4 linked regions of the Oryctolagus cuniculus genome follow. The protein of the gene in region 1 interacts with the protein of each later gene in a biochemical or structural test. Links are inferred from orthologs where the notes say so. Each region holds a gene or a part of one and is shown in the gene's direction. Other genes may lie near its edges. The genes, in order: LYN, KIT, FASLG and KHDRBS1.

The links.
Region 2: the proteins of LYN (region 1) and KIT form a complex in vitro, tested with the Homo sapiens proteins (2 studies listed by BioGRID and IntAct, with this or other methods). The link is inferred for Oryctolagus cuniculus from reciprocal best matches to the Homo sapiens genes LYN and KIT.
Region 3: the proteins of LYN (region 1) and FASLG form a complex in vitro, tested with the Homo sapiens proteins (2 studies listed by BioGRID, with this or other methods). The link is inferred for Oryctolagus cuniculus from reciprocal best matches to the Homo sapiens genes LYN and FASLG.
Region 4: the proteins of LYN (region 1) and KHDRBS1 form a complex in vitro, tested with the Homo sapiens proteins (3 studies listed by BioGRID and IntAct, with this or other methods). The link is inferred for Oryctolagus cuniculus from reciprocal best matches to the Homo sapiens genes LYN and KHDRBS1.

Annotation. Positions count from the first base shown.
Region 1 is NC_091437.1:81,131,400-81,139,088, forward strand, and holds the start of LYN (tyrosine-protein kinase Lyn), read left to right. Parts: upstream 1-2,449; 5' UTR 2,450-2,587; intron 2,588-7,689. UniProt on the Homo sapiens protein: Non-receptor tyrosine-protein kinase that transmits signals from cell surface receptors and plays an important role in the regulation of innate and adaptive immune responses, hematopoiesis, responses to growth factors and cytokines, integrin signaling, but also responses to DNA damage and genotoxic agents.
Region 2 is NC_091439.1:109,615,443-109,622,585, reverse strand, and holds part of KIT (mast/stem cell growth factor receptor Kit), read left to right. Parts: intron 1-310; coding exon 311-592; intron 593-1,833; coding exon of another isoform or gene 1,834-1,840; coding exon 1,841-1,977; intron 1,978-5,148; coding exon 5,149-5,320; intron 5,321-7,143. UniProt on the Homo sapiens protein: Tyrosine-protein kinase that acts as a cell-surface receptor for the cytokine KITLG/SCF and plays an essential role in the regulation of cell survival and proliferation, hematopoiesis, stem cell maintenance, gametogenesis, mast cell development, migration and function, and in melanogenesis.
Region 3 is NC_091438.1:1,338,350-1,346,112, forward strand, and holds the start of FASLG (tumor necrosis factor ligand superfamily member 6), read left to right. Parts: upstream 1-3,356; 5' UTR 3,357-3,763; coding exon 3,764-4,123; intron 4,124-4,681; coding exon 4,682-4,730; intron 4,731-7,763. UniProt on the Homo sapiens protein: Cytokine that binds to TNFRSF6/FAS, a receptor that transduces the apoptotic signal into cells. Involved in cytotoxic T-cell-mediated apoptosis, natural killer cell-mediated apoptosis and in T-cell development.
Region 4 is NC_091438.1:140,419,902-140,427,726, reverse strand, and holds the start of KHDRBS1 (KH domain-containing, RNA-binding, signal transduction-associated protein 1), read left to right. Parts: upstream 1-3,609; 5' UTR 3,610-3,830; coding exon 3,831-4,212; intron 4,213-7,825. UniProt on the Homo sapiens protein: Recruited and tyrosine phosphorylated by several receptor systems, for example the T-cell, leptin and insulin receptors. Once phosphorylated, functions as an adapter protein in signal transduction cascades by binding to SH2 and SH3 domain-containing proteins.

The DNA of each region.
Region 1 (7,689 bases):
CATAACAACAGGGACTGGGCCATGCTGAAGCCAGGAGCAAGGAGCCAGGAGCTTCACCCAGGTCTCCCACATGGGTTCATGTGGCCCCTGCACTTGGACCATCTTCTGCTGTTTTTTACAGGCCATTAGCAGAGAGTGGGATTGGAAGTAGAGCAGCTGGGACATGAACTGGTATCCATACAGTTGCATTGCAGACAGCAACTTTATCCACTACACAATGTTGGCCTTGACATAAAAAATTTTGTACCATTTTATTATTTGCCTCATGCCTTCAGCCAGGATCTCGAGGACTCATTGTTAGCAAAAGATACTTTAGGACAAAATATTTGCAAGGTCATTGTGAAGAGCAGTTCAGGAAGTGAACCCTGGGGCAGAGAATTCTTGAAAGGTGTTCCTCATAGGCTCAATACCTTCCCATGGTTACCCACCCACCTATTCTTCAGCAGGGAAGTAACTGATACATACTGCAAATATCATAGGTATGAACCATCCTACTTTTTTTTTTCTTTTAAGGAAGTACAGTCACATGTCACTTAATAATGGGGACGTGTTCTGAGAAATATGTTGTCCAGTAATTTTGCCATTGTGTCCACATCATGAAGTATACTTGCACATACCCTGGTGATGTAGGTCAGACACACCACGAGGCCTCTTTATTAAAAATTTATTTTAAATTTTAATTTATTTATTTGGTTTACAAAGAGTTAAGAAAGAGAGAGATAAATATAGATAGATAGAGCACTTCCAGCCACTGTTCACCCCTCAGATGTCCTCAGTGACTGGCGAAGGGGCTGGGTGAGGCTAGACCAGCTCAAAGCCAGGAGTTGGGAACTCAATCCAGGTCTCCCACATGGGTGACAGGAACCCAGTTACCTGGGTCATCATTGCTGGTGCTGCCTCCCAGGATCAGCATTAGCAGGAAGCTGAATCCAGGCACTCTGATGAGGGATGCAGGTGTCTCAAGGAGGTCTTAACCACTAGATTAAATGCTCCTCCAGCCCCTACCCCGTGTAGCCTCCTGATGTAATCAACACACAAAGTGTGGGATGTATGAGGCTGCTGGTGGCATAGCGTGGGACACAGTTTTATAGTAAACTTTTTTTATATATAAGTAGAAGGAGTAGACTATAAACAGTGATAAAAGTATAGTAAATGCACAAACTAGTAACAGTTGTTTACTGTCATTTTCAAGTATTGTGCGCCTGCACATGATTGTTTGCACTGTACTTTTGTATGATGGGAAGCACAGTAGGTTTGTTTAAACCAGCACCACCATAAACATGTGTATAAGGTCTTGCACTGCGATGCTCCTATAGCTAACTACAGCACTATGTGATAAGAATTTTTTAACTCCATTATAATCTTATGGGACCACCCTTGTATGCTTGGTTTGTGGTTGACTTAACAGTCCTCATTTGTCATTTGACTGTGCTTTGCAAGCCTTAGTACTCTTTTACTAGTAACAATGACTACTGTATCTGATTGTGTTACAGTATGGCTGCTTTGACCTATCAGAGGCTAGCTGGAGCTAGCTGCTTAAGAAAACAGTTAAAAGAGAGCATGACTGGTGCCAACAGGCCCTATCTAAGATTTTGCTATTAATACAAAGACCAACTCTCCTACAGAGAGTAAATTCGGTAAGGTAAAACAGTGCTGGGATCTTGGTGAACAAGTGAACTGGCTTTGAGCAAGTGAGCAGCCGCAGGGACTTAGATGTGTGACATTTATTGAGTTGGAACATGAACTTGAACTTGCGATCAGTCTTTGAGCCAACACTGGTTAGACACCTGCTATGTGCCATGCCCTGTGCCTCATGTGAACTCTCTACAGAAGGCCCTCGTAGGAGGTAGGAATCCTTATCGCCATCTTCCCGAGGAAACCGTGGCCATTTAACTCTGCTGCACCTCCAACCCCCAAGTCAATGCCTTCTTCCCAGGGTACATCTTTGAGGGCTAAGACCTCAGTGAGACCCTAAGATCATGACAGCACTTCTCATCTCGCTGGAGAGAGTTTAAAACGCTGGGAGGAATCAGAAGACCCTCTGTCCCAGGAGCACTAGGCTTCCTAACACCTTGGAGAGCAGATGAGAAGGAGAGGAGGGGAGACGAGATCAGAGGACCTTCTGGGTCCTCTGGCGATCTCCTGTCGGCCCCTACAGAAGGACGTGGGGCCCCACGCTGCTCCACTCCCCGGAGTTGCATGCAGGGTCGCCAGGGTTCTTTGCCCGCAAAGCCCCGCGCGACGGCCACAGCAAACACCCAAACCTTGGGCAGGGACCAAACGGTCACTTCCCCGCCCTCTGGGCGCAGTATGCAAATCCCAGCACCAGGAAGTAGCTGGGACCTCTCGGCCAAGCCCGGCGACAGCCAGTTCCTCTCCCACCGCGCCGGGCCGCGTCGCCGCTCGCTCCCTGCCGTGGCGCCCACGGGCCCCACGCGCGCAGCCCCTTGCCGCGAGTCCTGCCTCCCCCCCGCCACGCTGTCCCTCCCCACGCGGGCCCCCGGGGCCGCGCCGTCGCGCCGCCCGTTCTGAACTAAGTCACCGTGGAGCACCACCGCCACCGTCCCGAAACTTTCACCGCGAGCGGGTGAGTCCCGGGGTGGGCGCGCGTGGCCGGGCGGGGCCCGAGGCTTTGCCACTGGCCGGGGTCCCTGACACCGGTTCCGTTCCGGGCCGAGGGCTAAGGCGCAGGCCGCCGCAGCAAGGGTCCCGCACCGCTTCCTGGCCGCACCGGCGCCCAGTGCTGGCGGTGAAGGCACCAGAGGACTTGTGCTCGTGGGTGACTCAGCCCGGGGAAGCGAAGACGCGGGGGCGGGAGGGTCCGCAGGTGTCGCAGCCGAGGCGCTCAGGGGCGCGGCGGGATGTACGGTCGCGAGCACCCAGCGGATCCCTCCGGGTGCGGTCACCGCTCGGGCCACTCCCCGCGCGCTGCGGGGAAGCCTCTGTCCACGCGCAGCTGGCGCGGCGGGGATCCTGGAGGGAACTCCTCGGATTGCGCAATCTGGTCTCCCTACTAGGTCCTGGGTGCCCAGAGGTGAGCGATGAGGCTCGGCCCGGGCCCTCTCCCAGGCCGGCGGACAGCTGCCCTTCTTGGTGGCCCCGGCAGGAGCCTGAAGTCCAGGGGCCGTGGTGAAGGCGGCAGCTCAGCCTCCCGCTGAGCGGGCGCCTCTTGGCTGCTGAGGAGTCGTCTGATGCCTCTGCAGCGAGAGGAAGCTGGAGTTATTTTAAGAATTCAGGGGTTGCCTTTCCTTGGCCTTTGGGGGAAGGGTGTAGGCGTCAGTTCCCACTTTCCTGCCTTATCTAGGCCGGCTGAGGCCTCCTCTTGATTGCCTGCTGTGCATTTGTGATGCTACTTCTGGTAGCTCGCCTGTCGTGTGACCCTGTTTGTAAGTCGGCATATGTGTGTTAATTACTCCAAATTTGCCCAGTCTCTTGGCCATCCAGAAACCCGCGTGGGAATCCAGGCCTTAGCTGTCTTTGAAGGGAACAGATGATTGAAAGTCCTTTTCTGAGTTTCTCACCTTGGAGAAAACCTACATACATCCTACCTCTTGTACTGTTTAGTACATATCAAGTCCCTTGGACATTCTGTGCACTCCATAGATGGTGGTTACTGTTATTGATTGAAATTAATTCCACAACAACACTCCTTGATTCTTTGCCGGTTGGTGATCTTAAACCTAAGACTACACATCTGATTGAGCCATCTGACTTTCTTGGTAAATCTGCTTAATAAGTACAGGAGGGATTGGCTGTCCTGGAGCAAGGCCCAGCTCTCTGATTAGCCCTCAGAACCCACCAGGAATGTTTGACTCTTGGGTGGCTGTATGCTGTCTTGGCTGTGCCTGTGTTTTCTTTGCACCAGTAACACCAGAGGCAGTGCTAGGGGAGTGGGTGCTCAGAGTCCAGGAATTCATTGAGTCTTTTCTGAGTAAGAGTAAGCTCTGCAAGGAAAGGGTGGGATCTGTTAGTCCTCCATCTTTCAGAGATGAATGAGGAGATGAGGATTGGGTAGACATAATTGGATCGCAAGTGCTTTGGGTAATGGGGCCTCTTTGGGATGTAAATGAGTGACCATCTTCCTAGGTGGGGGCATATAAAGGCCAAAGATATTAGGGGACAGAATAGGAGCCAACAAACCTGAATTTTGGTTTCTTCTATCATTTGCCAGAGTTGTGCTTTGGGATAAGTCACTGGGGCCATCCATGTAGCCAGCATTGCCTTCATAGCAGCAACTAGACTGACATTACAATTTGTCCCTATGCCTATAGACTGTATCCTTCACCATGGAAGGTCCTGAAGCAGTTATGACAGTTATGTGTCTAGCCCTGGTGCCTAGCACACAGTTGGCGCTCAGTGGACATTACTTGGGAAGAGGCATGGAGGCCTACTGTGAATCTGGCCCTGTGCACAACTCAGGACAGAGAGAGGGGAAACAGGGCTGTCCCTAGGTGGTTGAAGCCAATTGGTGCTTTCTGTCTTTGTTTCTAAGGCAGAGATTTAAGGGACTCTGTTGACCATAAAGCTACCCAGAAATAGTGTTCTGCACCCAGGACTGTCTGCACTGCTCTATTGCTGGAAGAGAGGACTTGCTGTGGAGCTGTAAGACCCATCTTGGAAAGGAAGCTGGCCTGTCTCTTTGTCTTATGGTCATTGCTGGTGGTTGCAAAAGTATGTGGAGACTGTGCAATATCCTCATCCCCACCCCCACCACCTTCAGAGGCTTCTGTTTAGCAGGAAAATGATCCAGCACACTTGTGAATCAAAGACTTTCAAAACCTGTTAGTGCCATTGGCATTCGGATTCAGAAATAAATCACCAAAACATTCAGTTGATTGATAGGAATATGTAGAATTTTAATGCAACAGAATTAAACAATATGACCATATATAAATCCATGCAGATCTTTTTTTTTTTTTTTAAAGATGTGTTTATTTATTTGAAAGGCAGAGTTACAGAGACAGGGGCAGAGAGAGGCAGAGAGAGAGAGAGAGAGAGAGAGAAAGAGAGGTCTTCCATCTGCCGGTTCACACCCCAAATGGCCACAGTAGCCAGAGCTCAGCCATTCCGAAGCTTCCTCCTGGTTTCCCACATGGGTGCAGGAGTCCAAGGACCTGAGCCATCTTCTACTGCTTTCCCAGACTATAGCAGAGAGCTGGATGGGAAGTGGAGGAGCTGGGACTTGAACCAGCGTCCATATGGGATACCGACACTGCAGGTGGTGGCTCTACCTGCTATGCCATGCTGTGAGCCTCTCCATATAGATCTTACAAGAATACAATGTATTGGAGTTCACAGCATTGGACCTTGTTTCAGCTCCCTGGTACTGATGGTCTCTGTGATGGGAGGGTTGTGTTGACATTGAAGAGACTTGGCAATCATTAGTCAGGATGTTGAGATATTGGTCAAAAACCCACTGATGGCAGAAATGGCCGCTGATCTTTCTTGGGCAGTTATGACAATTTGCTTGTCCAAGGCTCTGGGAGCTTTTTGACCCTTGATTTCATCTGAGTCTCTCCTGTCTCCTACAGGATAGGCAGGAACAGATACAAAAACACAGATTGAGGGGCTTGCCCCAGGTCACAAGCTAAGTGTCACATTAGTCATTAGTCATGATTGTTATGTTTTCTGACATTTTCTACCTGTCCCCCTTCAGACCTGTATTGGGTTCTCAGCTACTTAAAAGAGACATTTTAAAAATCATTTAAGACTGGTGCCACGGCTCACTAGGCTAATCCTCCACCTTGCGGCTCCGGCACACCGGGTTCTAGTCCCAGTCGGGGCGCCGGATTCTTTCTCGGTTGCCCCTCTTCCAGGCCAGCTCTCTGCTGTGGCCAGGGAGTGCAGTGGAGGATGGCCCAAGTGCTTGGGCCCTGCACCCCATGGGAGACCAGGAAAAGCACCTGGCTCCTGCCATCGGATCAGCGCGGTGCGCCGGCCGCAGTGCGCCGGCCGCGGTGGCCATTGGAGGGTGAACCAACGGCAAAGGAAGACCTTTCTCTCTCTCTCTCTCTCTCTCTCACTATCCACTCTGCCTGTCAAAAAAAAATCATTTAATAAATATTTTAAAAATAGAGACAAAGTTCTTTTTATCATGTGGTAATTTTCTGAGCAAAGTGGCTGCAGCTCAGAACATTGGGACAGTTGTGTGGTTAAGCAGGATTGTCTGGAACTGTGTCTTTGAGCATAGCTTCCTGCTGGGAGAGTGGATTTGAGGAATGATCTACAATAACTGCTATGGTGACACCAATATTGACTGCTGTTCAAGTAGCTGTAGCAGCAGCCTTGGGGGCTATTCGGTAATTATTGATTAATACAGAAATACCCAAGGAGTATTTGGCCAAAGGACTTTGTTCAGCCTCTGCCAAGAAGTGTCTCCCCCACGAATCCTATCTGAGCCCCTTTGTTGGTTGTTACAACAATGAGATAATCTTTAAGTTAAAAATATAAACTAAGGGGACTGGGTACATAGGACGTGTGTTAAAGCACATGTCCCATTTTCTGAGCACCTGCTGTGTACAAGGCACTATTCTGGGCCAATTTTCCTGTAATGAGCATGGGTTGTCTCCCATTCTTCAAGGTTAATAATGAAAAGAAGGACATGGAAGAGGAAGTTGGCTTTTTGTTTCAGTTAGAAATACTGAAAGATTTCTTGTAGCCGTCTAGTTTCCTGGTTCTTAAGTTGTGAGACTTTGAGTTCACTCTATCATCATTTCTAAAATGTTTTGTGAGTAAGTTCTCATTTGGGAGATACACCCAAGTCTAGAAAATGGTATGGAAATTTGCCAATTGAGGAATTGGAGATTTTGTAACAGATCTGTGTAAGGACTTGGACCTTCTCGTAGGTATTTTTGGCTTAAGTTATCTGGAAGGACTGAATTGTATGTCAGAAAGACTCCTTCAGGGGTGGAAACTGGCTGCAGCAGTTAAGCTGCCGCTCGGGACGCCCGCATCGCACATCGGAGAGCCTGGAGTCTGGAGTCTGGAGTCTGGAGTGGAGTCCCAGCTCCACTGCCAATGCCAGCTTCCTGCTAATGCGCACTCTGGGAGGCAGCAGATTGAGGCCCTGCTACCCATGTGGGAGACTTGCATTGTGTTCTCTGCTCCTGGGCTTTGGCCTGACTCAGCCCTGGCTTTTGTGGGCATTTGGGGAGTAGACCAGTGGATGGGGGAATCTCTCTCTGTTTCTCTCTGTCTTTCTGCCTTTCAAATAGATAATCTTTTTTAAAGACTCATCCATGCAGATAAGTGCAGGGGCCCCATAATCTCCTTTGTTCTTTCTGATTGGCCTTTTTTTTTTTCATTTTAGTTCTATATTTCATTTTCATTTATTGCTAAATAAGCAGTCAGCATCCCTTAGTTGCCACACAGCTATTTCTTGAAAGTTGTGTTCACAGTCAGGATGTAGTTCTTGTTGCTGTAGACTTTCCCAACATGCTGTTTGTTTCACTGTGCTTTGTTAACCCTTGAGCATTTCCTAGTCTCTCCTGCAGCTCCTGCCTTCAGCTCTTTCTCTCCCCATGTTACAAAGCCATCTTTAAACCAGGAATCGAGGTAGCATGGGTTGACCCCGTATGAGAAGAGATGAGTTCATTGCTCATAAGGCTGAGATTCCTAAATGATATCCCAAGTGGGGGTAACATGGACAGGATGGGTTTGTCCAAAGCCCAGGCTCTGTGTGCTGAGCTG
Region 2 (7,143 bases), on another chromosome or scaffold:
GCTCAGCCAGGAAAGTTTATGCAAATATCCCAAAATGCTAACGTCTCTGAACTATGAAACACTTCTGGTCCCAAGTGTTTCCGTCGGAGATTCTCGGCCGGCAGCACCCATCACACAGGGGCCTATGGAAGATTAAATAAGATAAAAAAATGGGTGGTGGCTCAGGCTTAGTGCCCGGCTCGTGGAAAGTGTCTTAGGCGTGTTAACTCTTTCTCGCCAGTCCCGTTTGCATGTGCTCCAGTTCTGGCTGTCACGCTGCCTGCCGTGTCAGCACAGCCGCGCAAGCCACTGACGCCCAATGTGTTTGTAGATCCGCGGCAGCTGTTCCTCGTGGGCCTGCCCCTGTACGGCCGAGAAGACAGTGACACGCTGGTCCGCTGTCCGCTGACCGACCCGGACGTGACCAACTACACCCTCAAGGAGTGCGAGGGGAAGCCTCTCCCCAAGGACTTGACCTTCGTCCCGGACCCCAAGGCCGGCATCACCATCAAGAACGTGAGGCGCGCCTACCACCGGCTGTGCCTGCGCTGCGCCGCCGACCGCGAGGGCACAACCGTGCAGTCGGAAAAATTCATCCTGAAAGTGAGAGCAGGTGGGCCCCCTTCCCTCCTTCCTCTCCCTGAGGGTCGGCCCGCGGGCGCTGGCCCCTCCCCGTGGGCTGTTCCCCAGCCTCGCGGGAGCACCGGTGCTGGTGGAGCCTCTGTTGGAGAGGCCCAGCCCCGCACCCCTGGACCACGGCCACCTCTAGCCGAGGCAGGTGCGTCTGCCATGGACCGGCATCCGTGCTGGGCACGGTCATTACCGGCTGTGCCTGCATCAAGTGCTGCTTCCCAGAGACCCCCTGGACAGCTCCCACCACACTGTTGGCAAAGCTGAGTTGTTCGTTTTGATTGGCTATTGCACTCTCTCCCGCTGGTTGACTGCAATGCATCCTGGGACCGCGCGAGGCCTGGGGAGGAACGTGCAAGCTGACCGTGAACTTGTCATCATGTGGCATCCTGCAGTGTTTTGGTGGCTGGGATAATCCAGGTCTCTGTATCTCAGAGGCCATGTGATTCAACACCAGCTGTTCAGTAGGTTTTTTTTTTTTTTTTCTTTCTTTTTTTTTTTTTTTTAATTAAGGCTTTTGGAAAGATGCCCTCATTGAAATGAAGGAAGGTTTGCTTGTTTAAAACCTGGGGTGTTCAGGAAGAAGCGAGGTGTTACTTCTCTGTGTACGAGAGAGGTCTGTGTGGATAAGAGAATATAATCCGTTAGAGGCCACATGCTCAAGAAGCCATCAGCAAATTCACACCATTTCACAGAGTTGGGGTAGTGCAGAGGGGAAGAGACAGGGCGATCTTCTACCCTCTGGTTCACCGCCCCCCAGGTGGCTGCAGCAGCCAGGGCTGGGCCCAGCCGGAGCCAGGAGTTTCAGCCGGGCCTCCCACGTGGATGCAGGGGCCCAAGGACTGGGCCGTCCTCTGCTGCTTTCCCAGGCACATTATCAGAGAGCTGGATCGAAGTCGAGCAGCCGGGACTCGAACTAGGGCTCAAATAGATGCGGGCATCGCAGGCGGTAGCTTAACCCGCTATGCCAGCGCCAGCCCCTTCTTCCTGTCTTGAGCAAGCCTTTTCCAGAGGTGTTACAGTCCCACAGGGGACATGTCTGTCTCTTTCACGCAATATTGATGAATGTGCTGGGTGGGGGCGCGGGCTTCCCGGCCTTCCGGGGAGACCGCAGGTCAGTGCCGGGTTCCAAGACGATGAGGTAAGCCGCGCCCTCTGGGGAAGAGGGACGCCGGCGTCGCCTGCTGTGCCAGCCCGGGCTGTGCGAAGGCCCCCTTTCTTCCCGCCGTAGCCATCAAGGCCGTCCCGGTGGTGTCCGTGTCCAGAACGAGCTGCCTGCTTAGAGAGGGGGAAGAGTTCTCGGTGACCTGCACGGTCAGAGACGTGTCCACCGCCGTGCTGTCCGCGTGGCTGAAGGAGGACGGCCAGGTGAGTGGAGGCTCCTCCTCTTTGTTCTCCCGGGGTTCTGATGTGTGGGGGTGCCCCGGGGCCGGGACCCCACCGGCGAGGCGGCGCTGCGCGTGGAGACGGGGCCTTTCGTTACCAGTGACGGGTCCGCGTGCCACCAGGAGTCGAGCTGAGAACGGGGGGCGGGGGCGGCACCCTGGTCTGCAGAGGCCTTCCCTAGGGAACTGGAAACCCGCAGCTCTGGCTGATCCTTCCGTATCGAAGGCCAACAGAGCGTCCCCGATGTTAACCAGAAAGCTCTTTGCCGAAAGACGGCCTGCGTGTGCGTCAGGGCAGCCCGTCTTGCCCGCGCTGCTCGGAGCCGCTCACCTGGGGCTCACTTGCTAATGGTTTTCTGTTTGTTTTAGCAGCTATTAATATAATGGTTATCTTTCCCCTGAAAGCTGTGGACGTATGTAGCTTCTCATTCATTTAACAAATGCACATCGAATGCCTGCTATCTGTCAGATACGTGGTAGGCGTATCTTAAGCAAATTTCAGGAGTTGTATTTGAAGAGGTATTTTTTCCCTCCCTCTCCTGTTAATACCAAGCGGAGTCTTTGAGCCGATGGATTTCCTACCATTCTCCTTTACAATCCCTGTTGAGTGAGATCGCAGTATTTTTTTTTCAAGTCCTCTTGAGCGTGTGGTTGGTCGGCTGTCCCGAGGCTTCCTCCTGGTTGCAGGATCCCTGAGCACGACACGGAAAAGTGTAGGGTGGAGAATGAACTGCGCGGGCTTCAGACGAGTTTTGCACCGAGATGACGTACCCTTCACTTGGGTGCTCCCCTGAGCTTTTCAGAGGACCCGCGTGAGTGTGCGCTGTCTCGGGCAAAGAGCCACGGCTTCCTTCCTGCACCCCCCCACCCCCGCATCCCCGACACCGGCAGCTCCGTGCCTGTTCAAAGCTCTCTGCACACAGGCCCACGGTGCCTGTGCCCTGCAGAGCGGCGGCGGGGGTGCGCAAGCCGACTGTGATGGATGGTGTCTCGCTAATGAGGCCTGCTGGTGCCATGGAGAGAGAACGGCTCTGTTCTCCCCTCGCCCTTTCAACCCCGTGGGAAGTTTAGTTCTCAAAGCGGATAATGTAATAACAGCGGTAGCTTAGGTATAGATCGCTGGCTACCCTTACAGGACGCAACGCCACGTTAAGTGGCTTCCTCCAAGCCTTGATTCCAGATGAGAGGGCAATCTGGACTCCGTGCGTGTGTGTGCGCGCGCCTCTGTGCAATTTGAAAATTAGCCTTTTTGAGATGAGAGATTCAGTTGCCTCAGGCAGCCTTGTTTGAAGCCATTTGTCCCAGGAGTGCTGTGTGCCGTTCCCAATTAACCCACGGGCGCTGGCGCACACGCCTTCCGAGTCGGGGGCTCTTTGGGGAGGTCCCAGCGTGCGCCGCCGAGGGTTAAGGAGAGCCAGGCCGCGTGCAGACAATATGCAATGCGTGACTTGCAGATGGGCTCCTGGCCTCCTGCCAATCTGTGTGGCTACCCTGTGGTTTAATTTGGAGTGCTGTTAGCGCGATCAGATTATTTTCCAGATCCATAATGGTATTTGGTTCTGACCACTTAGAATAAGTTTAACCCCCAGCGAGACCCGGGGCCACGTGGCTTCAGTGTTGTTGGATTTGTTTCTCTAAGCCTCAGCGTCTTGGACTTTATTCAGTGCTTGCCGGTCTTGGTTGGGCCTTCCAGGGCTTTCTCCTGGCCTTTGGTGATCACCCCCAGCAGTCTTTGGGCCCGGCTGCCCCATCCGTCCCTGACCCACTCTGAGTTCCCGGGCAGCTCCCCGTGTGGACGCCTGGGCTGTCTCGGCTGCCCCGGCCATGTGCAGAGCCAGGCAGCCTGCCCGTAGGAGGCGGCGGCTGTCTTCCAGCCTGCACAGGGCCTCCTGCTGCCTGTCTGTTCTCCCCTCCCCTGTTCTGTGTCCCCAACTCGTGTGTGTGTGTTTTGCTTTTCGCTAACCGCTGTACAAGGCCCTTCAGAAAGTGCGTGGGAAGTGGAAGTCAAAGATGAGCTTATTTTGGTAAAAAATTTTTTTGAAATTCATGCATATAAAGGGACTTCAGAAAGTCTCTGAAAATTGTATATTTTGAAAAAAAAAAAAAACCATATTCTTGGGTTACAGGTGTTTTGGCACCGAAGTGACCTTTTCATTTTTCTAGAAACTTCTTGGAGTGGTCTTGTGCACACGTGCCTTTGGCCCGGAGGCCTGACGTCCGCCGCCCACGATAGGTGTCTTGTCAGTGGGTTGCTGATGTCACCAGGGAGGAGCCACAGCGTTTCTGCTCAGGCTTGCGTAGTTTTAGGCTTGGCCTGCGCGTTTCAGAGTCTCTGGGACTGCTCTCGGGTTGTCGGGATTCTGCTGCGTAAGGGCTGTGGGTGGCTCTGCGAGGTGGTTGACGACACACGGATTCCATCCTAATCCCCACAGAAGCAGCCGCTAATACCACAGAGCACGGTCGTCACGCACATGGTTTTAGATCACAGGAAATACTTATAAGTATTCTTAGATTGTAAGATGCCATAAGGTTTTTTCTTTTTTTAAAGATTTATTTATTTATTTATTTTTATTTGAAAGGTAGAGTTACATAGAAGCAGAGAGAGAGGTCTTCCATCCACTGGTTCACTCCCCAGGTGGCTGCAACGGCCGAACTTGGGCCGATCATCGAAAGCCAGGAGCTTCCTCCAGGTCTCCCACGCGGGTGCAGGGGCCCAGGGACCTGGGCCATCTTCTGCTGCTTTCCCAGGCCACAGCAGGGAGCTGGATCGGAAGCACCCGGGACCCAAACCAGCGCCGATATGAGATGCCGGCACTACAGGCAGTGGCTTTATCCGCTATGCCACAGTGCTGGCCCCTCATAATGTTTCTTATAAGAACTTGAAAGTTAGTGCTGCAACTTCGGAATTACACAGACTCTGGTCAAGCAATGAATTTTCATCTGCTCCCCGCCAGTCACTAGTACCGACCGTCTCTCTTACGGCCCTGTGATAGGAACTGCGCCAGCGACACCTGTGGCTTTAGTATTTCCCCCTTAAGTCACTGTAATGAATGCAAATATGGAGACATTAATTGCTGCTATTTTTAATTTAGGGAAGATCTGAATATTAATGGTATGGTAATTCTGGATTCTCTTTGTCCCCTCTGGGAACCAGCGGACAAACGGCCAGGTGAGGCGCCACAGCTGGCATCAGGGCGACTTCCACTACGAGCGCCAGGAGACGCTGACGATCGGCGCGGCGAGAGTGGCGGACTCCGGGGTGTTCATGTGCTACGCCAACAACACCTTCGGGTCGGCGAATGTCACCACGACCTTGAAAGTCGTAGGTAAGTACTGCCGCGGGAAGCCACACGTTTGGCAATCATGGAAGAAGAAATGACGAGCCAGTTTCCTTTCAATGTTAATGCAATGCTAAGCAGATTCTTGGACGTTGATCATCACCAAGTGAATGAGTGAGTGAGTGAGTGACTGAATGAATGAATGAAAATATCACTGCAATTCAGCACCAAAGCAGATTATTCCTTTTTTCGCCTTGAGGAACGCCGCAAGCTGGGCTTTTTCCAGCGGGAGCCCCAGCCCTGGCTGAGCTAGGCCACTGTGCAAGCAAACTCAGCCTTTCGCTACTGGGGGCAGAGCCGGGTCTCTCTCCTCATCCGGGTCACGCGCGCTCCTCTGCCTTCTGCCGCCCAGTGGCTCTGTCTGGGGCAAGGGTGCCCAGGGCGCCCCCACCTCCCCTGGTCTCCAGCTTCGAGCACAGAGCAGCACCCTTGAGGCAGGGAGCCCCCGGGGTGCAGCCCAGGGTGCAGATGGGGTCCCCTACCGCACATCAGCCCTGTGGGCCTCCCTCAGTGTTTTCCTCGGCTGATGTGCAGAGAGAGAACGAGAATAATTGCTTCGAAATGGCCTCTTTGACCTGTTTTTCTTTGAGTGTCGTCCTGTCCTGCTGACCCAACCTGGTTCTTAGTTGTTGACGGGGCCGCAGGGCTCAGCAGGGACGACAGGAAGCAGTGTCTGTGTTCACCCCGCCCCACCCCCTCCCCACAGGGGTGCCTCGTGCCCCGGGCAGGGTTGGAGCCCGCGCTGCCCCACGGTGATCCCCGAGTGGCTCCCGGCTTCTGCCCGGGTCAGAGCAGAGCGGGAGCTGTCCCCGACCCCGGGTCTGAACGTGCAGAGACCCCTTCCTCGCCGTCCCAGGAGCAGCGGGAACGCGTCCTGCCCGTCCCTCCGCGTGATCGCAAGCCATTTATTAATTGCAATGGAAGGCTGTGCTTTTAAAATATTAAGCTCCATAAGCGCTAATTTGCTAAGTTGATTAGGGAGCTTGTTGATAGATCAGCGTCAACTCCAGGAAAGCAATTAGCAAGACTGTTTTGAGCACATCGCTGTACGTAATCGGATTTTTAAAATCCATTCTTCAGTTTCCAAGAATTATAGCCGCGTGCCTGGCAGGGCTGGCAGCCGTGAAATCTGAATCCGGGCTGTGGCGGGCCAGGAGCGGGAAGAGACGTTGAGAGGCCGGGCAGGGATTTGGACGAGACGTGGGCGGGGCGGGTGGAGAGAGGGAGGTGGCAGCCGCACCTGCGTGTTTGTTTGTTGCCTTTAGAGAAAATTGTGGGTACTTGAGGCCTGCAAACCCGGAGTGAGGCCAGTTGACCTCTGTGGTTTCTCCCGGGGGTACCTGCTTCGGGTTTGTTTTGAGGCCACGGCAGCTCAGCTCTGACCTGGTTTCGAGGCGGGGCCCTGGCCCCGGGCGCTTGCTGTGGCCCCGCTGTAGCCCTGCTGTGTTCTCCGAGCAAGAGTGGCGACCCCAGTGGGTGCTCTGGTCCCCCCGCCTCAGTCGCCCTGGTGGAGGCCTGGTCGTTCTCTGAGGCTTCCCTGCGGGACGCCAGCCACAGGAAGCAGACGAGACGCAGAAAACGCAGCAGGCCCTGTGTCTTGTGCGGTGATGGTGAGAAATCATTTCAGGGCGGACGCTGCTGTCTGAAATATTTGCATTGGGGATTGTCTTGGAATTTATGACTTTGAGAAGCTGGAGCTATTTTTTATTTTTATTTTTTAAAGATTTATTTTACTTTAGAGTCAGAGTTACACAGAAGGAGGAGAGGCAGAGAGAGAGAGAGAGAGAGGTCTTCCATCCACTGGTTCCCTC
Region 3 (7,763 bases), on another chromosome or scaffold:
CACTTTTCTTTGCAACCTCTCTCACATTCTCCCTTTGGTTTCTCCTTAAGGGAATAAAATCAATCACAATGACTCTAGGTGAATAATTTGCGAATGATTTGCTAAATTTACAATACCAACAACAACCTCTGTAGAATGCTTACTTTGATGTTAGGAATATCAAATACTCTGATTCATTTAATCCTCACAAATCCCTATGAAGTACTTACTACTTTGAGATGAGAAAACTGTGACACAGAGGAGGGAAAGAGATCTGTCCAGTTCCCTCTGCTACTGACCAGAAGAACTGGGACTAGAACGCAGACAGTTTAATACCAAAACCCTATTCCTCAAATATCACGCAATGCTACTTTTCTACTCTCTCAATCCATTTGATTGAATCTTTGCCATTTTCAGTACAATTTTGAAGTTTAAAAGTACTGTTTTATGCAAGTTTTGTTACTTATTTTAGGATATTTTATGGTTTTTGTTGTACATATGGCATAATTATTTTTTAAGATTTTATTTATTTAAGAGTTACAGAGAGAGAGAGAGAGAGACAGAGACAGAGAGAAGGTCTTCCATCTGCAGGTTCACTCCTTAAATGGCCACAAAGGCCAGGATTGGGCCAATCCAAAGCCAGGAGCTTCTTTTGGGTGCTCCACGTGAGTGCAGGAGTCCAAGCAATTGGGCCATCTTCCACTGCTTTTCCGGTCATAAGCAGAGAGATGGATCATAAGAGGAGCAGCTGGGGCATGAACTGGCACCCATATGGGATGCTGGCACCACAGGTGGGGGCTTAGTCTACTATGCCACAGCACCGGCCACTGTCTGATAGAATCCTTAAAGTGATACTTTCTGATTATTATTATTTTTAAATTCAGTATCTTTCATAACTACGAATAAAGTCATATGTGAACTCAAAAGTATACTAACTCTGACCAATGCTAAATGATGGTAGGAGCACTGTGCACAGTCACCCCTGTCTCTGTGTTATACTGCTTCCAAGTGGAAAGTGCAGACTGGGGAGCGGTGCCTGGAAGGAGGCAGTGAGAGCTGCTGAGTCCAACTGTGCAGAGCACTGGGGCACGCTAGGGAGATGGTGATCCTGGAATCAAACCTTCCAAGAGAAGATTCTAGGCATGGACACAGGATCGTTGGATTTGTTTTTGAAAATACCAGTCTTGGGCAGGGGGGAGGGGAGAGAAGGGGATATCATTATATTCTTAGAATTGTATCTATGAAGTATATTGAATCTGTTAAAAACTAAAAATAAATAAACAAGTACATAAATACATAAAATATTTGTAAAAGAGAAAAAGATAAAAACACTATTTTTGCAGCATTTTATAGGGTGACTTGGGTTTGGACAAGTCTGGTGACAGAGGGACTGGTTAGGGCACCATCGCAGTATTTCAAGTGGAAGATGATAATGATCTAAGGCAATAAAAGGAAGGAAAATGAGAGTGGGAGGGTGCATTACGGGAGGGTAAGAAAAAAATGTCTGAGGTGACATCAATAGTCCTGGGTGACTCCTACAAGATTGAAGGAGAAAAAAAGAGGTGTTGAAGCTGTGACAAGACAGAAATGGGTAGCTTTGAGAGTGGGGGTTGTGTGGAGAGAATGTGGCGTGAAAATAATATGAGGATACTTCAGAAAGTTCTTGAAAAAATGGAATTTAAAGATAAATTTATTTAGGTGCAAGACAGACAATGGGCCTAGAAGTTAAGACACTGATTTAGATACTCACGTCCCCCACCAGATCCAATACTCGACTCCAGCTCCTGAGTGCAGCTGCCTGCTGATGCTGTCCCTGAGAGGTAGCAGTGATGGCTCAAGTGAGTGGGTTCCTGTAAGGAAAAGAATGCAGATGGGTGGCTCCTGACACAAGGCACCAAATGTAAGGAAAAGGGGGCCACAGAACAGAGAGGAGACAGGGTACAAACTCGCAGCCAGACCAAATTTATTCAGAGAAAATAAACTCACAGAGGTTGACAAACTGCCATCAAGCTCACAGATGGAACACGTGGCAGAAGCCCAGACCCTAGCAGGCTGGGCCTGTTTATAACTTAGGTGGGCTGGGGTGGGGCTGGGGGCAGTAGGCCGAGGTGAGTTTCTCCCTATTGGTTCTTCAGGTTTGGCCCACTGGCTTCCAAACCTGGGGAAGAATGCGGGGGGGGGGGGGGGGGGGGGGGACAATACAGGGAAGGAGACTGAACTCCTCTCTTGAAAGAAGACAGGGTAACAAGAACCTAAAGTGGCTGAGGCTCCTGTCCTTGTTGCATCAGTTCCTGTCACCATATGGTAGACTTGGATTGAGTTCCCAACTCCTGACTTCAGCCATGCCCAGTCCCAGCTATTGTAGGCACTTGGGAGTGAATCTGGAAGATGAAAACTTCCTCTTTCTCTCTCTCTCTCTCCCTCCTTCCCCACTCTCTGATGCAATACAATTTTGAAATTCATTAATAGAGTTTTCATTGTACACATTTTCCATGAACTTCTTGAAAACCCCTTGTACATTTGGTATTGACGTGGTCCACGTGAGAGAGCCAGAACGACAGTCACAGAAATCTCACAGTGTGATGTAGAAACTAATGAAACTGAAAAGTAGACATCTTCAAAAGAACAGAAATTGAAGATTTGTGGAAATTTTATACAGTTTTTATGGGAGAATGATTAAGAGTGAGGCTGAGTACTTGGAAGTTATTGGCATATTAATGGTATTTGAGACCAAAAGAAAGGGTGAGGTCATAGCCCAGGCACAGTTGCCATCTTTAGCAAAAAACAAAGTTAAAAAAAGGACACCCTTTAAAATTTGAATTTCAGATAAACAATGAATAACATTTTAGTACAACTCTTGCATTGTTTAGGACATACATACCCTGAAGCTTATTTGTTGATCTGAAATTCAAGCAATTCTAGTAAACATAACAGCAGCTATGAACAGGGCTGCCTACAGGGGCCAGAAAGCCATTTCACAGGTGAGGTGGTGTGGGAAACACAGTACAGGGTGGAGGGACCTTGGGGGTGGAGGTTGGGCTACCTGGTCACCTGTGTCTCATTCCTGGGGACACTTGCTCCTCACCTCCAGCTGACTGAATTTGTGGAGATGGCCTTAAAAATATTTACAACAGAATGAAAATAGGTATTTTAATGTGGACTGTCTTGATTTTACAAATGAGAAACAAATCATCAAGAAGTAAAAACAGAGCTAGGCTGTGAGATCCACAAAGCATATCTGATCTAATCTCTAGAGTGGGCGGGGCAGGGTCTAATCTGTAAATTATGGTGATTTGCAGGGTTCGGGTAAACAGTGCTTGGTGTGGGGAAGGGATGCGGGAGGGGGATGATTTCCTCTTGCAAGTGACTCCAGTCTCCCCGCTCAGCGCCACTCTCCCTGCGCCAGCACTGCGCCCAGTGCTGCCCTGCTCTGCAGGCCCGAGGAAGGCGGTCACGGCTCCCTGCCTTTTCAGGTAGCGCAGCCACGGCAGCTGTGGCTCCGGGGGCTTTCATCAGAAAGTTGTGGGCGGAAACTTCCAGGGGTTGGCTCTGAGCTTCTTGAGGCTTCTCAGCTGCAGATATAAGGTGAGTGGGTGTCTCTCTGAGAACTAGCAAGAGAAGATGAGAGAGAGAGAGAGATTGATTGGTGTTTCCCTTGGTGTGGAAACTCTATAAAGCGAGAGCTGGCTGTTCCTCTCTTAACAGTGAGCAGCAGGAGTTCCTTCTTCGACATTGCAGCCTCCACAGGACTGAGAAGTAAAATCCTTGGGAGTCCCTGGCTGCCATGCAGCAGCCCTTCAGTTATCCATATCCCCAAATCTACTGGGTGGACAGCACTGCCAGCTCTCCCTGGGCCCCTCCAGGGTCAGTTCTCCCCTGTCCATCCTCTGTACCTGAAAGGCCTGGTCAAAGAAGGCCACCACCACCACTGCCACCGCCGCCGCCACCGCTACCACCACCACCACTGCCCCCGCTGCCCCCACTGCCCCCGCTGCCCCCACCACCCCTGAAGAAGAGGAAGGACCACAGCACAGGCCTCTGCCTCCTTCTGATGTTTTTCATGGTCCTGGTGGCCCTGGTTGGATTGGGGCTGGGGATGTTCCAGCTCTACCACCTGCAGAAGGAGTTGGCCGAGCTCAGAGAGGTAAGCTGTGTCCAGCAATCACTGGGGTGGGAGGAGGGCTCTGCTGCTGTGGGATGGAGCCTCCTGGGGTCTACCCGGACCACTGTCTTGCTTGCAAAGTGCTTTTCAAGCTTTACTGTTTGTCTTGGAAAGGGATTGTTCTTGTCGTTCTATTCTATAGGTAGAGAAATGGAGGGTCCTATGAATGAAGAGGTATTTTCTGTCTTGTAAAGAATTTGAGCCATATGGTTTTGCCTTTTTCAGTTGTCATGTCAGTCTGTGAAGCCACTGACCTCAGATCTAGTGATTCAAGAAATAAAAAAAAAACTTTGAGTCTGCTTAGAAGTGAATGTATTCAAATGACCAGACTGAATTTCCTTGAAAACATTTTAAAAAATCTGGTACCATTTCAAATGACAAAACTGAGGGACAATGAGACAAACTTGTTTGGCTAAAGTCTGAGTTAGGAAAGGTTCTGAGGAGTTTGGAATCTCTTTCGGGGGCTGGCTTATTTGGCAATTCCTCCACTGATTAAAGAGCTTCCTATTTATCATACATCTTTTCTCTTTCTTCCGGTAGTCCTTCAGTCAAAGGCACACAGCATCATCATCTATGGAGAAGCAAACAGGTGAGTCCTTTTATTCATGTGATTTGAATTTCCAAAGATAATCCTTAGCACTGAACATTGTTGGGGGGATACCTTGAATCCTATCCCATTCCTGGGCTTGTGAATATTATGAGAAGAGTCTTGGACAATTCTGAACCCCTGGTCAGTGTGGTTTCTTGAGCATCTTTTAAAATATGAAGTGAATTTCACTGCTCAAAATCAGTGTAGCTGAGTGTTTCACACAATGCAAAATACTTTTGACTTGACTTTGGGATGAGACACACATACATAATCCTGGAGCCCTGCCATTTGGGCAGCTGGTTGCAGGCCCATCTCCTTCCTCAGGAGTCCTAGTTAGGTATGGGCAAAGAGAGAAACTTCTGGGAAATGTCCTCTCCTCTTCTCAACTCCAGAAAAGAGATCACTCAAGAGTCAAGCTTCATTTAAGACATTGTACAAGATTTAGCTAAGCTTTTGATAAGTGGACAATTTCCCACATAGCATGGTTCCTTTGAAGTCATGGGGAGGCCTGGGAGAAGATTTAACCCATATTCAAAGGATTATTCCACTTTACCTATGAGATGTTTTTGACAATAAAGGAAAGTCCTTTGTATGAAATCCAGTACAAGAAAAAGGTAAAAGTGTTGAATTCTGGCTTCATTAAATTTCAGAGCATAGATTTAGACACTGTGGACAAGTATATTTTAGGATTTGCTCCATTTGTATTAAACCAAGATTAATTGACTTTTTAAACTTGGTTAGAACTGAGAGGGATCTTAAAGATCATCAGTTCCACCCATTTCATTTCTCAGAAGAGAAACAAAACATCAGACAGATTGGGTGATGTGCCCATGACTACTGGGTGGCGCTGGGGCTAGAAGGGATGTAGGCTCCTGCTGCCTTGGCACTTCCAGGACTTTCTAGCATGTGGACTGGTGCCTCATGGAAAGACAGAAACTCTTGCTTGACTGTAATTGCCAGGGGATGAGAAAGAAATGGAAAGCAGGACACTTCTGCAAAATCAGTAGGTAATTTTTTTCCTTAGAAATGTGGAAGAAGAGAGCAGGCAGGGCTAGCCATCCATTAAGTGCTGCCAGTTTCAATCTCAGGATAGCCTACTGCAGGTGGCCCAGGTCAGCGACTTCCCTGGAGCATAAACTCATGTAGGAGCCATCACTGAGATGCTCTGGCCCCTTGTTCTGATGTGGTAGAAACTCAGGAGGGGCACAGAGTGGAAACACTTTTTAGAAAAACGCAGCCTCTGGAGGACTTCTAATGTCACTTTGAAAATCAGGGGACTGTGGCTAGGGAAACAGGTACCTCATTACTCATCTCTCACCCACTCTCTGGAGGCGTTTTATTGGTTAAAAGTTAAATGAACAGATGAGTCAGGTCTACCTACCCCACTAAACTCTTATCTTCTCTGCATCAACCCAGACAGATCAGAAATTAGGGAATTATCAAATTAGCAACTACTAATTATCAAGTTTACAACTTTACTAATAAGAGATGCCAGTTATAAAAAAGATACTTATTTTCATGCATCCATTTAATAAACATTAAAAAGAGTAAAAATCCAGACTACCAAAGCTGTGATAGGAAAGTGTCCCTTTAAGCATTAGTTTGAGCTAGTGTGAATACAAATTGACCTAACTTTTCTGAAGAATAGTTTGGAAATATGTATCAAAAGCTTGAGATTGTTCGTTTAGCCTGTAATCCCATCATTAAGATTTTATCTTAATAAAATAATCAGAGCTATGGCCCCCAAAGGCTTCTGTATAAGGATGTTCATCACTTCATTATGAGGCTATTAAAATAAAACACTCAGAAGAAACTTAAATACCTCATTATATGTTAGTTAAGCACATTATGGTATATTCAGATAAGCAAAAAATGCTGAATTAAAGCCATGTATCAGAAAAACATTTAATGCTACAGGGATTGTGCTTTCTATATCATTAGTTACAGAAAGTGTATGATAGTTTATGGCAGTTTAATACTGACTGTGCAATTATATTTTCATATTTTTATATTCTTAGAAAAGAACTAAAAGACAATGACATGTTAATAGTGATTTTCTCCCAGAGGTACTGTGATAGGTTATTTATACCTTCTTATTTATTACTTGTTTTGTTTTCCTTTTTATAAGTAGATTGACTAGTTAATTATCCACTGGTGTTCTTGGAGGGCCTCCCATGTGCCAGGCTGGGCTTGGGTGGTAGATGATGATTGAGAGTGAGAGAAAGAAGGGGGGCTATCTTCAGGGAGCTTTCTAGAATGGTGAATGACAGTAAGCAAACACAAAATATCATTTCAAATTGTACTACCTGCGACCCAAGATGGAGCAATCTGGAAAACCCCTCTACAGAGGTGCTGTTTGTGCTGACACCCAAGAGATCAGGAGCCCACCAAGTGGGGAATGATGTGTCTGTGTCGTGGAGGAGGGTGGGTGATGGTGGGGTGCATTCCAGCACTGGCAAGTGCAAATATCCCTGGGGCAGGAAACAATCATCCCAATGTCTAAGGCATTTTTTTTCAGTTTCTTTATTTCAGTGTTTATCCAAAAGATATTTTCAGTGTCTATCTTCAGTGAGAAGAATAACATTCTACTAGGCTCTGTGTAGGATATAAAACGTGCAACATGTGGTACTAACAAGTGCATTTCCTGTCAGTACCTGGCCAAATGCCAGATCAGCTGCTCGATGGTTTGTGGTGTAGGTATGGAGAAGAGACTCAGTTCTGCCTTTCCTGTTCACTGACACCTCATTCGTGGTGGGTTGTCTTGGATGGTGAGAGACAGCGTGATGCTCAGGTCATGTCCTTGGTTGCCTGGGCCATTCTCAAACCATGTGCGAGTTTCTCAGGGTAATCAAAAGTAGGAGATGGCTGAGTTCCTTTCTTTTTTTTTTTAAGAATTATTTATTTATTTGAAAGTCAGAGTTACACAGAGAGAGGAGAGGCAGAGAGAGAGAGAGAGAGGTGTTCCATCCGATGGTTCACTCCCCAGAGGGCCGCAACGGCCAGAGCTGCGCCGATCCGAAAGCCAGGAGCCAG
Region 4 (7,825 bases), on another chromosome or scaffold:
TAGTAACTACATGGTAATTAAAATAGAAAACAATAAGCGGGGCTGGCACAGTGGCGTAGCAGGTAAAGCCATCGCCTGCAGTGCTGGCATCACATATGAGCACCGGTTCGAGTCTTGGCTGCTCCACTTCCAATCCAGTTTTCTGCTATGGCTTGGAAAAGCAGTAGAAGATGGCCCAAGTCCTTGGGCCCCTGCACCCTCGTGGGAGACCTGGAAGAAGCTCCTGGTTTCTGGCTTCGGAACAGTGATCTGGCCATGTGGGGAGTAAACCAATGGATGGAAGACCTCTCTCTTTGCCTCTCCTTCTCTCTGTGTGTAATTCTTTCAAGTAAATAAATAAATCTTAAAAAAAAAAAAAAAAAAAAAAAACAAGCAACTCCTTATTTGAAAAAGTAAGACATGCTTTTGTTATAAGGTATGGAAGGTTTTTCTTTTTCTTTTTTTTTTTTTTTCAGGGAAAAAAAGGAGTAATTTTTGTTCTGAAGTAGAATGGCTGGTTCCAAAACGAGAAAAAGGAAAAATATAGGACAAAACCTGAATGGATAAGAAGTTGTGGAATGTTTGTAGAATCTTGTGAATTTTATGTGTGATCAGGCTGGCTAAAATTAGAAGGGAATTCTAAGTCTTTCTAAAAACTGGGTTTTTCATATCAAAAGTACACTGATGCAAAACTAGAATTTGGTTTCTCTGTAAGGCACCAAGGTTTACAATGGAGTGCCAATTTGTTCTTAGTAGGAAATAAAAGTTTTACCTTTTATGTAATTAACTTGGGAAAAAATTATTGTGTGTGTGTGCATTTTAAAATTTTATTTGAAAGGCAGAATGGGAGAGGGAGAGAGAGAGAAGGAGAGAGAAGGAGAGAGAATCTCCCATCCACTGGTACACTCCCCAAGTGATCAAAATAGCAGGGGCTGGGCCAAGCTGAAGCCAGGACCCAGGAAACTCCGTCCAGGTTCCCCATGTAGACCAGTAGACTCAACTGCCAAGCCATCACCTGTTGTTTCCCAGGATGCCCATCAGCAGGAAGCTGGATTGAGGTAGCACAGCATGGGCTGGGGGCACCCCAAGCGGTGTTAACCATTTGGTCAAACCCTCTCCCCTGAGTTTATGTTTTATCAAGATCATTTCTTGTGCTTTCTGCTTTATGGGTCCTTTATTACTTAACAAAAATAAATCTTCTTAATATTAAAAAGCCAAGTTTTTGTTGACACCTATGTAGTCTTCTGCATTTGCTTTTTGAAGTCTTTTGTGTCCTGTGATTCCATCTTGATGAAATATTTTAAACCTTTGATTTTTAAAAATTAATTTTATTTGAAAGGCAGAGACAGAGAAAGACATATATTCCATGTGCTGGTTCACTCCCTAAATGTCCACAACAGCCAGGGCTGGGCCAGGCCAAAGCCAGGAACCAGGAACTCAATCCTGGTCTCCCAGGTAGGTGGCGGTAGCAGGGATTCAATTACTTGAGCCATCACCTGGCGCCTTCAGGGATACACCAATGCAGGATACACCTGTATTCAAAGCCAGGCACTCTGACATGAGATGCAGCCATCCCAAAGTCGGGTTTTAACCGCTGCACTGAATGCTTGCCTTGCCCCCCCTTTCTTTTTTGTAAACTTCCCCACAACAAATTCTAAATTAAGCCTTTGTGACCTCCCCTTAACTTGTGAATTTTCTAGTTGGGCTCCTGGAAAACTTCAAAGGACATGTCTCACATTCTAAAAGAGAATTTAGGTTTACGGGATATGTTAAATTACATGGGAAGAATGGCCAAATATTGATGTGAAGCCTTCTTTAACTTATATTTATCAGATGTTATTGATATGTGTTCCAAAAATTGTATGAAATTCTTAGAAATGTTATGCTGCAATTATGCTGATTTTGTTAAAGTGCTGTATGCCACAGCAATAGCAACACAATATTTTCTTCCAGCCGGCACCGTGGCTCAATAGGCTAATCCTCCACCTTGCGGGGCCGGCACACCGGATTCTAGTCCCGGTCGGGGCGCCGGATTCTGTCCCGGTTGCCCCTCTTCCAGGCCAGCTCTCTGCTATGGCCAGCGAGTGCAGTGGAGGATGGCCCAGGTGCTTGGGCCCTGCACCCCATGGGAGACCAGGAAAAGCACCTGGCTCCTGGCTCCTGCCATCGGATCAGCGCGGTGCGCCGGCTGCAGCGGCGGCCATTGGAGGGTGAACCAACGGCAAAGGAAGACCTTTCTCTCTGTCTCTCTCTCTCACTGTCCACTCTGCCTGTCAAAAAAAAAAAAAATTTCTTCCTACTTGACTTTAAACTACCTGAGTATTCAAGGACAAGGGTCATTTATGTGACCTTAAACTACTATACCAGACACACAACACACATGCCCCACCACCATCACCACCACGGTAGTTTAAAAAGTTGAAGGAAAAATGGAAGTAAAATATATTTGGGTAGGTACAAAAAATTTCGAAATCTATGCAAAAAGTCTTTAAAAATGCAACATTACAAGGATCTCGAAATTGTTTTGCACCAGATTTGTTCCCATGAACTTTTTGACATACCCTCATGTATTTTTATTTATATAACCCATAATCTGTACAAAATTTTTTATGTATTTTGTACTTTATACGTATAATTTATGGATATTAGCGTTTTGTTCTCATTTTAGTAAAAAAACGTAGCCAAGCCTTTATGTTCCCTCATTAAAGGGGTCTGAGCTTCAAATCCAGAAATCACGTTTCCAAGCACCCAGCAGGCAGTTTCCAGAGACGCTTTTGAAAGTCGCGAGCTCATTTAGGAAACAGATCCGGAAGGAAAAGGGATGGAAGGAGTACTCTGAATGGGTGAAGAAAAAAAAAAAAAAAAAAAACCTGCGGCCGGAAGGGAAAGTTAGAGACGCGCCAGGCGTTCGATGACTGATAGTAGAGACCCGGGCTCCCCCGCACGCAGCTCCCAGACCCGAGCCGGCCTCGGGCGAGAGATCCGCTGCCCAAGGCCCTCGCCTCAGCACGGCCGCCTGAGACCCGGCCTCTGCTCACTCCGCGAAATAACCGCTTCAAGCGGGAAGCAGGCTGCGACACGGACGGACTTCCCCGACTAACCACGGCTAGCGTGTCAGAACCTAGTGTGCGGGAAACCTCGGGACAGCACGGGGCTCCCTGCTACGCTTCAGGTCTCCGCCCTCTCAGTTCAAGTCTCCCAGTCAGCCGGCCGTCCCCAGCGCCACCACGCATCCCGGCGTCAGCCTCTCCCTGCGCCTCCCTCCCCGCGTGCCCCACGCAGCCAGCACGTCTTCACGCCGGTGGCCGGCCCACACCCCCCGCCCGGCTCCGCGGCTCGGCCGTTGGAGGGGGCGTGGCCCACGAGTAACAGGTCTCCCCCCCACCTCCGCCCCACGCTCGCCGCCGGCCCGCGCTCAGACAAAGACATTCCACAGCCCCCGCCCCCTCCGCGCACCCGGTCCGAAGGGGGAGGAGACACGTGTCCCGCTAGCGCCGAGTCACGTGGGAGAAAAAACGAACGGAGCCCGCGGCCGTCCGCGCACGCGCGCCAAGCTCCGGCCTGGCGGGCTCCGAGGGAAAAGAGGAGGGGGGAGGCCTCCGGTTCGGGCACCACGGCAGTGCGCAGGCGCCGTGGCCCGACTGGGGACTTTGTTCTTCGCGGAGAAACCCAAGGGCGGTGCCGGGATTTGGTGCGCACGCGCGCTGCCTCATTTCCGGTGCTCTCTCTGGCTGGGTCGCTCGGGTCGGCTTCGGTCGCTGTTGCTCCCGCTCTACCACCGCCGCCGCCAACCGCCGCCCGGGCCTCGGCCGCGTCGGTCCCCTCGATCGCTCGATCGCACATCCTCCGCGATGCAGCGCCGGGACGACCCCGCCGCGCGCATGACCCGGTCCTCGGGCCGCAGTGGCTCCATGGACCCCTCGGGTGCCCACCCCTCGGTGCGTCAGACGCCGTCTCGGCAACCGCCGCTGCCTCACCGGTCCCGGGGAGGCGGAGGAGGGCCCCGGGGGGGCGCCCGGGCCTCGCCCGCCACGCAGCCGCCGCCACTGCTGCCGCCCTCGGCCACGGGTCCCGACGCGACGGTGGGTGGTCCGGCGCCGACCCCGCTGCTGCCCCCATCAGCCACGGCCTCGGTCAAGATGGAGCCTGAGAACAAGTACCTGCCCGAACTCATGGCCGAGAAGGACTCGCTCGACCCGTCCTTCACTCATGCCATGCAGCTGCTGACTGCAGGTGAGCGGGCCTCGGGGTCCCTCGGGGTCGCTGGACCACCGGGGCGGGAGGGGTGCGGGAGGAGGTTGGCAGCGGCTTTGTTCCTCTGGCATCCCAGTCCCTCGGGACCGTGGCGGTCGGGAGCTCCCCCTCTGGCCCTCGTCTTCGGGGGCCTGAAGCCCGCCTTCCCACCCCGGCGCAGGGTTGCTGCGGGCGCCCGAAAGCGACTGGGAGATCTCCGAGCGCCGAGCTCCCCGCCCCCTTCCCGACCCTCCCCCTCCCTCCTCTCGCAGCTGCCCCGCGCTCCGAGTGCTCAGATTCTTCCAGAAATGAGCCCGTATCTCCCGCGTCCCCCCCGAGGGGAAGGCTCTTGGGTGGCGGGGAGCGCCTCGGCCGTGGGTGTCGGCGCTGCAGGCAGCCCGAGCCGGCGGGGATCGTGGGAGGCCGGAGGGCCCTGGCCGGCGCGCGGGCGTCTCGCGGGCCCGGCCGCACTTGGCCGTCACGGGAGCTGGAGTTGCGCCGAGGCACAGCGACTCGTGGGAGTCGGAGCTTGAGGTTTTCCGAATCAGATGTCCGAATCGGGCAGGTGAAATGAGGATTGTGCAGAGCCGGAAGGTTGTCGCCGTTTTATTTTACAACGTGCTTTCAACCGTCATTCAAGAAGCGGGGAAGCAGCCCTGGGGACAGTGAAATGAGATGACGGGAGGCGGTAAGGGCTGCAGGGGAGCTCCCAGGACGGGCCCCACCGCGAGGGACGGACCGTGGAGAGAAGTTGCTCGGTGCCTGCACCTGGAAGACTTGGCCTTTTGTGTTCATTCTTGCTTCCGTGGCGAGATAGATGGGAATGGTAGTCTTTGTTCTCCGCGGACGGGAGCTTCTTCCCTCGGCAGCCCTGACCCCCTCCCTAATCGCTCTGATTTCTCACTGCAGCCTCTTTTTGACCTTTTCTTATAGTTAGAAATGTTTTTCAAAGAAATATTTATTATACCTAAATGGTAGAGTAACAGTTCATGGCCTTCGACGCTGAATGAGAAGTCGGAGCCATTGACAAGATTGATACAAGGGACAGTTCATTGACAGTTCATTATGAAAATCTCATTTCCTTCCCTTTGTTCTCTCTCCCAACACTGGTAAGGGTTTTTTTTTTTTTTTAACGCAATAAACAATTAGAAAATTTCGATAAATTGCTTAAGATCTTTAACTCAGTTCTGTGCTGTCCTATATAACCACATTCTACTTTTCCTGTTTTCTTCTGACAGGCTCTTTGAGAGCAAGAATTGCTTTTTATATTTAAACATGTTTTTTGGTACTGTGCTGGACATAGCAAACTCCAGGTGTTTGAAAATGTACACATGCAAACTCAGGAATGTCAGACTAATTGGTAAAGTTTGGTTTAGCAGTCGGATTTTTAATTTTCTCAAATCTTCAGGCAGTACGCATTGCATTAAACGCAGGAGAATAAAGTACACTTTAGAGCCTAAAGGTGTTGACTTGGTTCTCAGCGCTGGCCCTTAATTAGTTACCGGCTCTGGGGAAGCTTTCTGAACCTCAGTAACCTCATTTGTAAAGTGGATGGTAAGTTTGGAAGATTAAATGATCTGTAAAATCACCAGCAGTTTCTTTTGATCTGTATCATTAGCTAGAAGAAGCTGTCACCACAATTTTTTTCTGGTTGTGAATCCATGGTAATGAACAAGGTATGAGAACTTAAGATATATTTTGCCCTTCTGACTATCTCCATTGCCCAGCGTGATGTTCATCTTTTAAGATAGTTTCTTAGGATAACCATTAAAAATCATTGATCCTTAAAGATTATTTATATTTTTCATTCTCTCACTGCTCCTTATTTTTTTTCAAACTTGGGCTTTTTTAATGCCTTTTTTTTTTAACCTAAAGAGGATGGAAATATTGAGAACAAAATTGGGTTGTGTGGATACTTCTTAGCATAGAAAAGTCTTAATGTTTGTTGGATATGGTTCTTAAGGTATTTCTAGAGAAGAGATTACAGTGAAGTCAACCAATCATAAGGAAATGAGACTGAGAAGAAAGAATAGTGTTTAATCCCTGAGAACATATATTAGAAAAACAGCTAACGTTGTGTCAGGCCCTGGATTAGAGCACTTTACATATTCATGACAACACTAGAAGTTATTCTTTTTTTTTTTTTTTTAATTTATTTGACATGTAGAGTTTACAGACAGTGAGAGAGACAGAGAGAAAAGTCTTCCTTCCATTGGTTCACTCTCCAAATGGCTGAAACGGCTAGAGCTACGCCAATCAGGAGCCAGGAGTCTCCTCCTGGTCTCCCATGGGGGTGCAGGAGCCCAAGCACTTGGGCCATCCTCCACTGCCTTCCCAGGCCACAGCAGAGAGCTGGGCTGGAAGAGGGGCAACCGGGACTAGAACCCAATGCCCATATGGGATGCTGGCGCCGCAGGCAGAGGATTAACCTAGTGCGCCACGGCACCAGCCCCAGAAGTTGTACTCACTTTTACAGATAAGGAAAGAAAGCCATACAGAATATAATTTGCTTAAGGTAACAATTAATAAGCCACATAACCAGGATTTAAAGTAAGTCTGAGTATGAAACCATGCACCTAATCCTTTTCCCCTCCTCCACACTATAATGCCTGCTAAAAGTTGTAAGCTTTCATTGGAGAAAATAAAAATCTTATGGAAAGTATCAGAGTGCTGACAAGACAGTGACAATTGAGGCCAAATACAGAAGAAAACCTAGCACAGAGCCTAGCATTTGGAACTGTGATAGTCCAGGCACCTCTGCCCATTCCTGAAAAGGTGCCCTGCCAATCAGACCACTCATTTGCACCACTCACAGCTCCCCCGTCCCTCTCCTAGGTTTACTTTATTTTGTACTTAACAGCATCTGGTGCACCATATGTTTAATTAATTGCTTTGTGGTCTGCTGATCACCTTCACCTGGCTCCTCCGTGGCTGGAAGGTCAGCTCCGCCAGGGCAGGCATGTTCTGTGAGCTGCTTTCACCACTCTCACCTCCTGTACCTTGAAGAGTGCTGCCCAGAGTGGCCTCTTATTAATGTTTCCCGAATGAATAATGAATATTCACCTTGTGTGGTGAAAAAATATTGACACATTTTGAGGAATGTAGATTTTGAATATTGACTTCTGTCCTAGCCAGATCGGTATTCAGCTGTGATGACAATTAAATGTATTTGCAGACATGCAAGAACTCAACCAACCACCCATGCTTATTTTCTGAAAGAAATATAAATTACCTTACTATTTATGTTAGCATTTATATAATAAATGTAAAATGCTGATATGTATGTCAACGTTCATTTTCTGCTTTCTACCATTAGGAAAATAAAAGTGTAAATGACTCAGGAATAAACAGTGCCTAGAACATCTTGATGGGCTACTCCAAAACTGTCCTTCAGAGAAGCTTACAGTGGAGAACATCATGCAGTCTGTTGAAACTTACAGATAGTTAATTCCTTGATTTATGATATTTTATAGAACTATATCAAGACCGTCACGGTTCATTCTACAGGACAGGCAAAAGCTGTGATTAAAACTGACTGGAAGGTGGAATCGAAAAGGAATTTTTAGGCCAACTAATACAACTATTAGGGAAGAAAGAGGCAACATTTATCTCT